2 linked regions of the Arabidopsis thaliana genome follow. The protein of the gene in region 1 purifies or fractionates together with the protein of each later gene. This does not show direct contact. Each region holds a gene or a part of one and is shown on either strand. Other genes may lie near its edges.

What was found. The genes of interacting proteins can lie anywhere in the genome.
Region 2: the proteins of PAD1 (region 1) and CPN60A fractionate together in Arabidopsis thaliana (co-fractionation; one large-scale study listed by BioGRID). This does not show direct contact.

What each region holds. Positions count from the first base shown.
Region 1 is NC_003074.8:19,029,046-19,033,644, reverse strand, and holds PAD1 (20S proteasome alpha subunit PAD1), read right to left. Parts: upstream 2,720-4,599; 5' UTR 2,560-2,719; coding exon 2,387-2,559; intron 1,857-2,386; coding exon 1,442-1,856; intron 1,064-1,441; coding exon 899-1,063; 3' UTR 511-898; downstream 1-510. Other genes in the region: AT3G51250 (Senescence/dehydration-associated protein-like protein), read right to left, coding at 3,203-3,380, 3,504-3,588, 4,016-4,182, 4,457-4,599. UniProt on the Arabidopsis thaliana protein: The proteasome is a multicatalytic proteinase complex which is characterized by its ability to cleave peptides with Arg, Phe, Tyr, Leu, and Glu adjacent to the leaving group at neutral or slightly basic pH.
Region 2 is NC_003071.7:11,924,635-11,929,996, forward strand, and holds CPN60A (chaperonin-60alpha), read left to right. Parts: upstream 1-1,811; 5' UTR 1,812-1,968; coding exon 1,969-2,022; intron 2,023-2,336; coding exon 2,337-2,520; intron 2,521-2,617; coding exon 2,618-2,739; intron 2,740-2,813; coding exon 2,814-3,021; intron 3,022-3,106; coding exon 3,107-3,252; intron 3,253-3,334; coding exon 3,335-3,641; intron 3,642-3,726; coding exon 3,727-4,178; intron 4,179-4,262; coding exon 4,263-4,550; 3' UTR 4,551-4,854; downstream 4,855-5,362. UniProt on the Arabidopsis thaliana protein: Binds RuBisCO small and large subunits and is implicated in the assembly of the enzyme oligomer. Involved in protein assisted folding. Required for proper chloroplast development.

The DNA of each region.
Region 1 (4,599 bases):
AATAGGTTTATCAGAGAAACTGAAGTAGCTTACCTGAGAGAAGAGAGACGGCGGCGGTAGAGCGAGGAAATTCTTTTTGTGAACTCGAAAATCCTTTAGACACAAGATTCAACTCTCTTTTAGAAAAATCTTTGTATACTATTGTATTAATACCATGTTATTTGATATCCTAACAACGAGGTCGTTGTAGTATAGTGGTAAGTATTCCCGCCTGTCACGCGGGTGACCCGGGTTCGATCCCCGGCAACGGCGTCTTTTTTGTTTTTCAAGATTTTTAACATCATTAACGTTACCTTTACGTTATTGCCTTATTGGGGATACCTTTACGTCATTTGAGGTAATCGTCTCAATGGTGACACACAAAGCTAAAGAGAAGAAAGGGCTAGCATCTTGTTGTCTGGTAATGGAATTTCGTTTGATTCAAAACCATTGTGGTTCAGCAAACTACAACTAACTATCTTCAGGGTTGCTGGCAGTCTTATGGACTTTGGTGATCATAGTTTATGTCAGTTCCACTTTGTAATGTTGTTCTCTTCATGTTATTCGTTGGTGAACAAGTTAATGGAGGTACAAAGATGGTAAAAACGGTAAGTTACACAATGGAGATAATAAGAAGAGAGACATGTTTAGTAAGAAACAACGTTTCCAAAATCAAAATCTACAACTCTTGAGCGCAAATGCAAAGTCATCTAGAATACTGAACATGCCATAGTTCCAACTGACAAGTATCGAAACTCCGCTAAAATGTCATTTAAGATTTAAAGCAACAGTGTCAAATAGGCTAGTAATCCAACAAACCATTTCATGCGGTCTAGATTTTCTATTCAACCCTTGAATATCCCTGACTTTGAACCAGCATTACAACTCATAATCTGAGACCGCTACTTTAAGATCTGGTTCATGTTTCCTTCGCAGGGCCTTTCTTGGCTGCTTCAGCTGCAGCCTTCTCTGCTTCGATCTCAGCCACAATGATATCAATTTCTTCTTCTTCTAGTTGCTTCAGAACACCTTCCTCTCGTGTCATTACAGCAACCTCAATGTTCTTTCCCCCACTCTCAACAACCTGCAAAATGCAAATCCTTTTCAGCTTCTTTACAAGTTCCACCACTACTTGTGCGTTTGCTAAGTAAGCTCATCTAACATTATAATCCAACTCAATTAGTAAGGTCTTCTACATTTTCAAAAACTTTAACATTCTCTAACATTCACTTTTAACCTAAAGCCACACCTATAAATAATGAAGAATCATAATGAGGTTCAAAGTTTGGCATGTTGCTCACAAAATCACCGGGTCACGCAGCAAAATAATTAATAGGTCAGATCTCATTGTCAACTAAAACTACTAGGTTTAGTTATAGAACATTCACTAACAGGGCACCCCGACAATAGCTCAAAAGAAAACTACAAGGTTTAGTTATAGAACATGATAGAGCAAACTAACCTCAAGCAGAGCACGGATAGCAAGCTTAACAGTTTCTTGGCCAGCGCTTTCTTTGTAGTTTTTCTCCAGAAACTCCCTAATTGAGTTAGAGTTTCTCCCAGTTGCATTAGCTTTCCAAGCAGAGAATGTACCAGATGGATCGGTCTGATAAAGCGCGGGTATACGAGTGTAGGGATCAAACCCAACAATAAGAGTGGAAAGACCAAAAGGCCTCACACCACCACTTTGAGTATACTTCTGTTGAAGCCCTGCTATGTACCGAGTAATGTACTCAACAGTAACTGGGTCCTCCAACGTAAGCCTGTGGCTTTGACACTCTATCCTCGCCTTGTTTATCAAGACACGAGCATCTGCTTTCAGTCCAGCACAGGCCAATGCAATGTGATTATCAAGGCTCACTATCTTCCTTGCTGATCTGAGAAGCAAAAAAATTATCAAAACTCATATGATTGGGAAGGAACACCAACCAGATCCTATATACGGATAACAATAGGTAAAAAAACTCAGATCTATTGGAGCAAGAGCTCAGCCAACAGATACGAAGACGATATTGCTTAGATTTCAGCAAGTTCAACACCAAAATTATATTTTTACGCAGTGAATGATCAATTTGCAGAGTATAACCAAAAACGTGTTCTTATACAAAAAAACACGTCTGAGATACAGGAACTGTAATTGTACACTCGTAGAGAAAAAGACTTAAACTAGGGTTCAGCTCAGATTCTACGATCTAACAATACTAGATTCGCAATTACGAAGTGATACAAAATCCCAACATCAGGATTTAGTTCAGAAGGATTGAAACAGTGATCATACAAGTAGCAATTGAGTAAATCAAGCGAGCTATCCAGGTGAAGCTTAAAACCAAAATCAAAGTGCAGAAACAAAAGTAAATGGACTAAATCCGGTTTAAGCATCTTGTATCGGTAGAGATCGGAGCAATACCTGGAATCCTGGAGCTTAGGGGTGGATTTCTTTTCGACGGCGAGGACGACAGTATCTGTGCCGCGGACTCCGACGGCGGCGTTACCCTTTCGGACGGCTTCTAGGGCATACTCTACTTGGAAGAGGTGACCATCGGGGGAGAATACAGTGATTGCTCGATCGTATCTCGCCATCTTTTACCTTTTTCTGGATCTTGTGAGTGTTCTTTCTTCTTCTTCAAAAACTCTCTCTCGTTTTTATTTCACAGTAAACGATTCCCGACTTAGGCGACAAGCCAAAAGCCCAGCTCTGTTTTAATCACCTGCGGACAGGTTCACGTACACACACCTTCCAGCCAATCAGAAAGAATCATCACTGGATTTATTTCTGTACTGGGCCCAAGATGAGCTACATTGGCCTAAAACTCCAAACATCTGGCCCACTTCTTCAAAACATTAAAACTCCTAACATTGTTTTTTGTCAAATTAATCTGGTAGAATACATAACATAGGTGCAATTAGTGTTTCTAAGCAAACACTAAAAAAGGTAAACGAAGGCAGGATAAGTCACCAGAGATGAGAGTTAGCGGTAAGAAATAGCAGTACAAAAGAAAGATAAAGAGTACTAATACTGCTTCTCGATGCATTAAGAAGTTACAAATCAAACCCATAAATGGGAGAAGATTGGAAGAAACTGTTTATATAGTTTACATAGAATCACAATATACACAGAAAACTAAATATAGAGTTACATCAATCAATCTTCATATACTTTTCCAAAATGAAAAACTAAATGCAAGTTTAGATGAACACAGAACAGTTGAAGGCTGTTTAGTGTTTACTTGGAGCCTTTCTTAGCCTTTAGTTCCGAAACAGACTTGGCCAATGATGAAGGCTTTATGACATTTTTGGGGTTAAATGCCTTTCGAATCTTGAAAGCAACCCATGCCGTTCCAAATGCATGTCCCGCTGCGTCTAGCCCTTCGTTAGTAGCCTCTGCTGCTTTTGTGCCGTACCTGTAATTTCGAAACAGAATCCATGAGGTTTCTTTAAGATCTAAGGAAACTTTGATCACTCTTGCTGAAGATCACTCATGCGGAGATATGTGATTGTTTATATATGCCTTTGCTAATCAATACCTGTGATTGACTAATTCTGTTGTGACAGTTGATGAAGTCGACATTACGTTTTTCCCAGCAACTTCAACAGCATCACAGATCTTGCCTGCAACAAGAAGTAAACATGAAAAGAAGGGTACTAATCCCATGTGCCTTAAACAAAAAAGGGTTCGGTATATAAGGGAAGCCAGCGATTACAAAACATTTGGTAACTTTGAAATTAAAAACCCACAAAAAGAATAATGCTCCAAAGTCCACCAGACTAACTTGTTCAATGCAAGAAGCAGATCCAAGCACTAATACACTATATCAAGGAACTTCTGCTAAATGTCATATTCGAAAAATTGGAAAAATTATGGGAATGGCCATCAGAGGGAAAGTCGGATAAACAATAATTGTAATGCTGGTCATGTCAAAACATGTATTCAAGTGAGATGAAAGAAAGCAAGGCAACTCGTGAATCAAGAAGCTTTTATGACCCTCCAAGCATGGGATAGGAAATATGAGAAACCAAAAACAAGTAATCTACTTACTAAATCCATCGAGGGATGCGAGAACAATCTCTCCAGGCAAGAGACCAAAAAGCTTCTTTCCAGCTTTTGAGTTTGCCATTGAACCAGTGATGAATCCCGAGACTTTGACAACACCAGAAAGAACACCAGTGGCAACTTTCTCTGTCATTTGTGTCACTCTCTTAACCCTTTAGATAGAAACCACATGAGGGAGATAAGCAAAGGCATAAAAATTGATTTCATTCAAGATATACTACCATGAGAATGCACAATGTTCAAACATTTTTAAACAAGAAATTTCATCACTGCTCATAGAATTGGTCTTCTGCAAACAATAATCATCCCTTACTACTCAGTTCTCTAATGATCATGAAACAAGGAACCAGATAAGAGAATCCCTACTAGATTCCTAAGCAGTTATTTTCAAGGTCAAAGATGCAAAATTCCTAAGTATAACCATACCTCTTGATTCTCCTCAGTGTCTCAGGGCTAACATCTTTCTCCTTCTCAGCACGACTAAGCCTATTCTTCATAACCTCGTTTCCCTTCTTGAGTCTCTCCACAGTTACATCCCCACACCACAGTATCCCTCTGATCAGCTTACC
Region 2 (5,362 bases), on another chromosome or scaffold:
AGTTTAGATATGTATGTAAACCGACCGTGGGAGATAGAGAGAGAGACTGAGAGAGACTGAGAGAGAATAATGATTGCGTAAAGCCGTAAAATCTGTAATGGTTTTTTTCTTGACGTATTAAGGTGGGTTTTATCAGTCTTTCTATTACACGGTACTGTACTTACTCTCTTAAAAATCTATTTTGTCGGTTTTTTTCCACGAAAATTATTTTCTTCTTTAAACTGATACACATGTATCAATATCCAAATGAAACACATTTTTATACAAATTGAAACATGCAATAAACTACGGAATATCTAAAAAACAATAAAATTAACGGCCCTAAAATTAATTTTAACTAAATTCTTTAATAAAATAAAATAAAATCATAAGTCTATAAAGTATTAGTTATTTTATGGTAGTTTAATGGTTAATAATTGTTTTTTCATATAGAACATAGGAATGTGGTTAAATTTCAGAATTTTAATACACTTTTAACTTAATTATTTGTTTATATGAGGCACTTTAAGTTTTAGAAAACTATAAACACATATGCAAAACATCAAACCAAATTATGTTTTTGCATGTCTTTTGTTGCATGCTCTATATATCCTAACTATTTTTGCTTAGTAGTCCACTAAATTGTTTCGTTTCAATCACAACCACTCAAGAAAATAATTACAATAGATTACTAAAACAAGTTAACAACAGTGTTATTTATTTACTCTTTTTGTCGTAATGCTTTAAATTACATGTCTCTTTCTTTTCATCGGACAACTGTTAGTGTGTTTTTTTGTACATCAGGACAACTGTTAGTTTACTCATGTTTTCTACATTGTACATTTTGGCAGTCAATTTTACGGCACGGTTTCCATTAAAGATATGGACGTCATCTTATGGTAAGCTGCATCTTTTGAGGAATAATACATGTAGACGTCCCTATTTATAATTTTTGTGTTACGTAACTTCCCTTTTGTTATTAATTAAGTGTGTTTATTTGGTCAATTCACTCAATCAAATCAAACCCAACGCCAAACTGCAACTATTTATGTGATTGACGCTTCAGAGTTGAAACTGCCACTTTTGTCAGATTTATTATCTCACTTCCCAACTTTTCTTTTCCGTAACTAGTGAATTTATTCATGGGAAACTAATTTAATGCATGGTATATGATGCGTACAACAAGCAATACTTATATGAAAAAAGATTTAGAAACAAATTGTATTGGCTTAACTAAATCAATTAATCATGTAGCAATTAGGTGATTTGGAGTCTATTCTCTGTTTAGAAAAGTAGTAACTGTTGTCTTTATGAGAGTTTCTGTTTTACTTAGCGGGTAAATCTACTCTAAGCTAGGTGTTTTCATCCACTTAACATGTATTTTATAATCTCATGGTTTTCACAAGTCTTAAATTGTACTTATTAGTTTGGTCTAAATATTACTCCCTTTGTTTCATTATATTGGATGTTTTAGGGATTTTATTTTGTTTCAGATTATAAGATGTTTTACAAGTTTAAATTTAAATTTAATTTGACTATTTGTGACTATTTATATTTTGCAGTTTTCATTATCATTTTTTTTAACAAAATCTAAATACTATTTTTTATATACAAAATGACCTAATATGTATCCATTTACCTTAAACCTCTTATATTTTAAAACAGAGTGAGTACATTCAGTAAGAGAATGGATAAAAACGAATTTGGAATACACAAACTATAAAAGTTTCTTGAGTACTGTTTCTATTATTGGGCCATAAACAGTGAGACAAACAGGCCCATAGAAGTAGGTGAAAAAGGCTTATTAAGATCAACGGTTCTCTCGTTACGAATGCAAAGAATCTTCTGGATCCTTTTTCTCTCAGCTACTCTCTCCATTTATCTAATAAACCCTAACCCCTCCTCCCACACTATTCGTTTACACTAACCACTTCCTTATCCACACCAATCCAGAACGTTCCTCAAAAAGCTCCCTCCTTTTCTCTCAAAATGGCGTCTGCAAACGCTCTCTCTTCCGCCTCCGTCCTCTGTTCTTCCCGTCAGGTACAAAGTTTGTTCCTTTTTACCTTCCTTAGCTACTTACTAAAGAAGAAAATGAATCATCTTTCATTACTTTGTTTTGATTGGATTTGACCCTTCAGTGTTATCTATTTTCAAAAACCTTTCTCTATCTGGTTTATTGGGTTTTTGAAGAAAGTGATTGAATTTGACCCTTTAGTTTGTTCTGTTTCAATTCAATTGCTTTTCTCTATTTGGTTTCTGGGTTGGTGAGAAAAGGTTAATTTTTATGGGAATTAGAAGAAACTGATTGAGATTAATGTTAATGAATCTGCTTTATTGATGTTGTGGGTATACAGAGTAAGTTGGGAGGAGGAAATCAGCAGCAAGGTCAGAGAGTTAGCTACAACAAGAGGACAATCAGACGTTTTAGTGTTAGAGCTAATGTAAAGGAAATAGCTTTTGACCAGCACTCTAGAGCTGCTCTACAAGCTGGTATTGATAAGCTTGCTGATTGTGTTGGTCTCACTCTTGGCCCTAGAGGTATTTGTTAATATTAGTAGCTCCTTTACTCTTTCCATCTTCATCTGTGTTATTTATCTTTCGACTTATCTTGGTGTTTTCATTTGTTATTCTTAAGGGAGGAATGTTGTGTTGGATGAATTTGGAAGTCCTAAGGTTGTGAATGATGGAGTCACCATTGCTAGAGCTATTGAGTTACCTAATGCCATGGAAAATGCTGGTGCAGCGCTTATTCGTGAGGTTGGTGTAGCTTTGTTATTGTCTCTGTTAATGCTATTTATACGGTGCGGTAATCTGGTGTTGTTATGTGGTAGGTTGCGAGTAAGACTAATGACTCTGCTGGTGATGGGACAACCACTGCGTCTATCCTTGCTCGGGAGATAATCAAACATGGATTGTTGAGCGTCACTTCTGGTGCGAATCCCGTTTCACTCAAGAGGGGAATTGATAAGACTGTTCAAGGTCTGATCGAAGAGCTTCAGAAGAAAGCTAGGCCCGTGAAAGGTCGTGATGACATCAGAGGTACTAACTTTGCAGTGACCTTCCTTGTGATGCAGCAATGTTTGATTTCTTTTACTGATCAATCTGTTCTTTTTTTTTTTTCCAGCTGTGGCTTCTATCTCTGCTGGAAATGATGACCTTATAGGGTCAATGATTGCTGATGCCATCGACAAAGTTGGACCTGATGGTGTTTTGTCCATTGAATCTTCATCTTCTTTTGAGACCACGGTCGAAGTTGAAGAAGGGATGGAGGTATGAGTTTTTTTGTCTTGCTTCTCTTCAACTGTAATTTTATTCACCATTCATTGCCAATGACTAACTTGATTATTTACAGATTGACAGAGGTTACATCTCGCCTCAGTTTGTTACAAACCCTGAGAAACTACTAGCTGAGTTTGAGAATGCTAGGGTATTGATCACTGATCAGAAGATCACTGCGATCAAAGACATCATCCCTATTTTGGAGAAGACCACTCAGCTTCGTGCTCCGTTGTTGATTATTGCAGAGGATGTTACTGGTGAAGCCTTAGCTACCCTTGTCGTGAACAAGCTTCGTGGTGTCCTCAATGTTGTTGCCGTTAAAGCGCCAGGATTTGGAGAAAGAAGAAAAGCCATGCTTCAAGATATTGCAATCTTGACAGGTATATGCAGATTTCGCGTGCGTTTAGTACTTTTACTTTCTCTCTGTTATGGTCTAAACTTTTTATCATTTTGTATGTTTTTCAGGAGCTGAGTACCTAGCCATGGACATGAGCTTACTGGTTGAAAACGCAACCATAGATCAATTGGGTATTGCCCGAAAAGTCACGATTAGCAAAGATTCGACTACCCTCATTGCAGATGCAGCTTCCAAGGACGAATTACAAGCTCGGATTGCTCAGCTGAAGAAAGAACTATTCGAGACTGATTCTGTGTATGACTCAGAGAAGCTCGCTGAGAGAATTGCGAAGCTATCTGGAGGTGTTGCTGTCATTAAAGTCGGAGCAGCAACTGAAACTGAGCTTGAGGACCGTAAGCTTCGTATCGAGGATGCAAAGAACGCAACATTTGCTGCTATCGAGGAAGGCATAGTTCCAGGTGGTGGTGCTGCTTTGGTGCATCTCTCCACTGTTATTCCCGCCATTAAGGAGACTTTTGAGGATGCTGATGAACGTTTGGGAGCTGACATAGTACAAAAGGTAGCATTTAGTTTTTCGGTTCAGTATTTGTTCTGTAACCAATTGTGACTAGTTATCTTATAAGGGTTTATGTTTTGAGTTCAGGCATTGCTGTCACCAGCTGCTCTTATTGCTCAGAACGCTGGAGTTGAAGGAGAAGTTGTTGTGGAAAAGATTATGTTCAGCGATTGGGAGAATGGGTACAACGCAATGACTGATACATATGAGAATCTGTTCGAAGCTGGAGTGATTGATCCGGCTAAAGTGACAAGATGTGCGCTACAGAACGCTGCTTCCGTAGCAGGAATGGTACTGACCACTCAGGCCATTGTTGTTGACAAACCGAAACCCAAGGCTCCTGCTGCTGCTGCTCCTGAGGGTCTCATGGTGTAATCAAAACACAACATCTTATCATCACAATGGCATCTTTGTCTTTTTGCACATTTGTCATCCCCATTTATCTGCAATGTTTTTCTTTTTTGGGGGAATATGAGTAGTTTGTTAACAGTATCGAGAAATAATTATCATCTTTTTTGTCCAATGGAAATTGCAGAAAATGGTTATGTATGCGACCAAACATTTTATATGTAGCGAGAGTAGTTTAGCAGAACAATAAGCAAATATGCGTACAAACTGAATAATGTTCCAACTTACTATACTATTAAACTAGGAGGGAACAATGTTTTTTCATGCCTTTACTAGTTTTCTCATAAAACTTGATCTGGATATTGCACTTCGATGATCTACGAACCATTAGCAGATCTCCGGTGATTCGATACTTCTCCTTGTCGTTTATTGCACAGGCACGAACTTTGACAAGCACAAGACATGACAGTTTCTCTATGAAATGTCTCATTTCCTCTAGCTCTTCAATTGTTCCTTCATATTCAGTTATCTTCAATACTTTCACAGGACATCACAATCCATATATTCTTGTAAAGTTAAGTATATATACAGGGAGATCAGACTCGTTGGAACCACTCGTACTTTGACTTGGAACTGCTCCAAAACTAAAAGAATTTTTGGTAGATGATTATGTATGTATCCTTCTCTTCCTCCTCTTCTTGTTCTAGCTTTGATGGACTAAAATACTAGTCAAAATTTTGCTTAATATATACCCCTTATTGCTTCTCAGAGATATATCTACAAAACCGAGGATCTTCCATTTTGATGGAATCAACCGAGTCTTGTTCCCGGATGCTTGT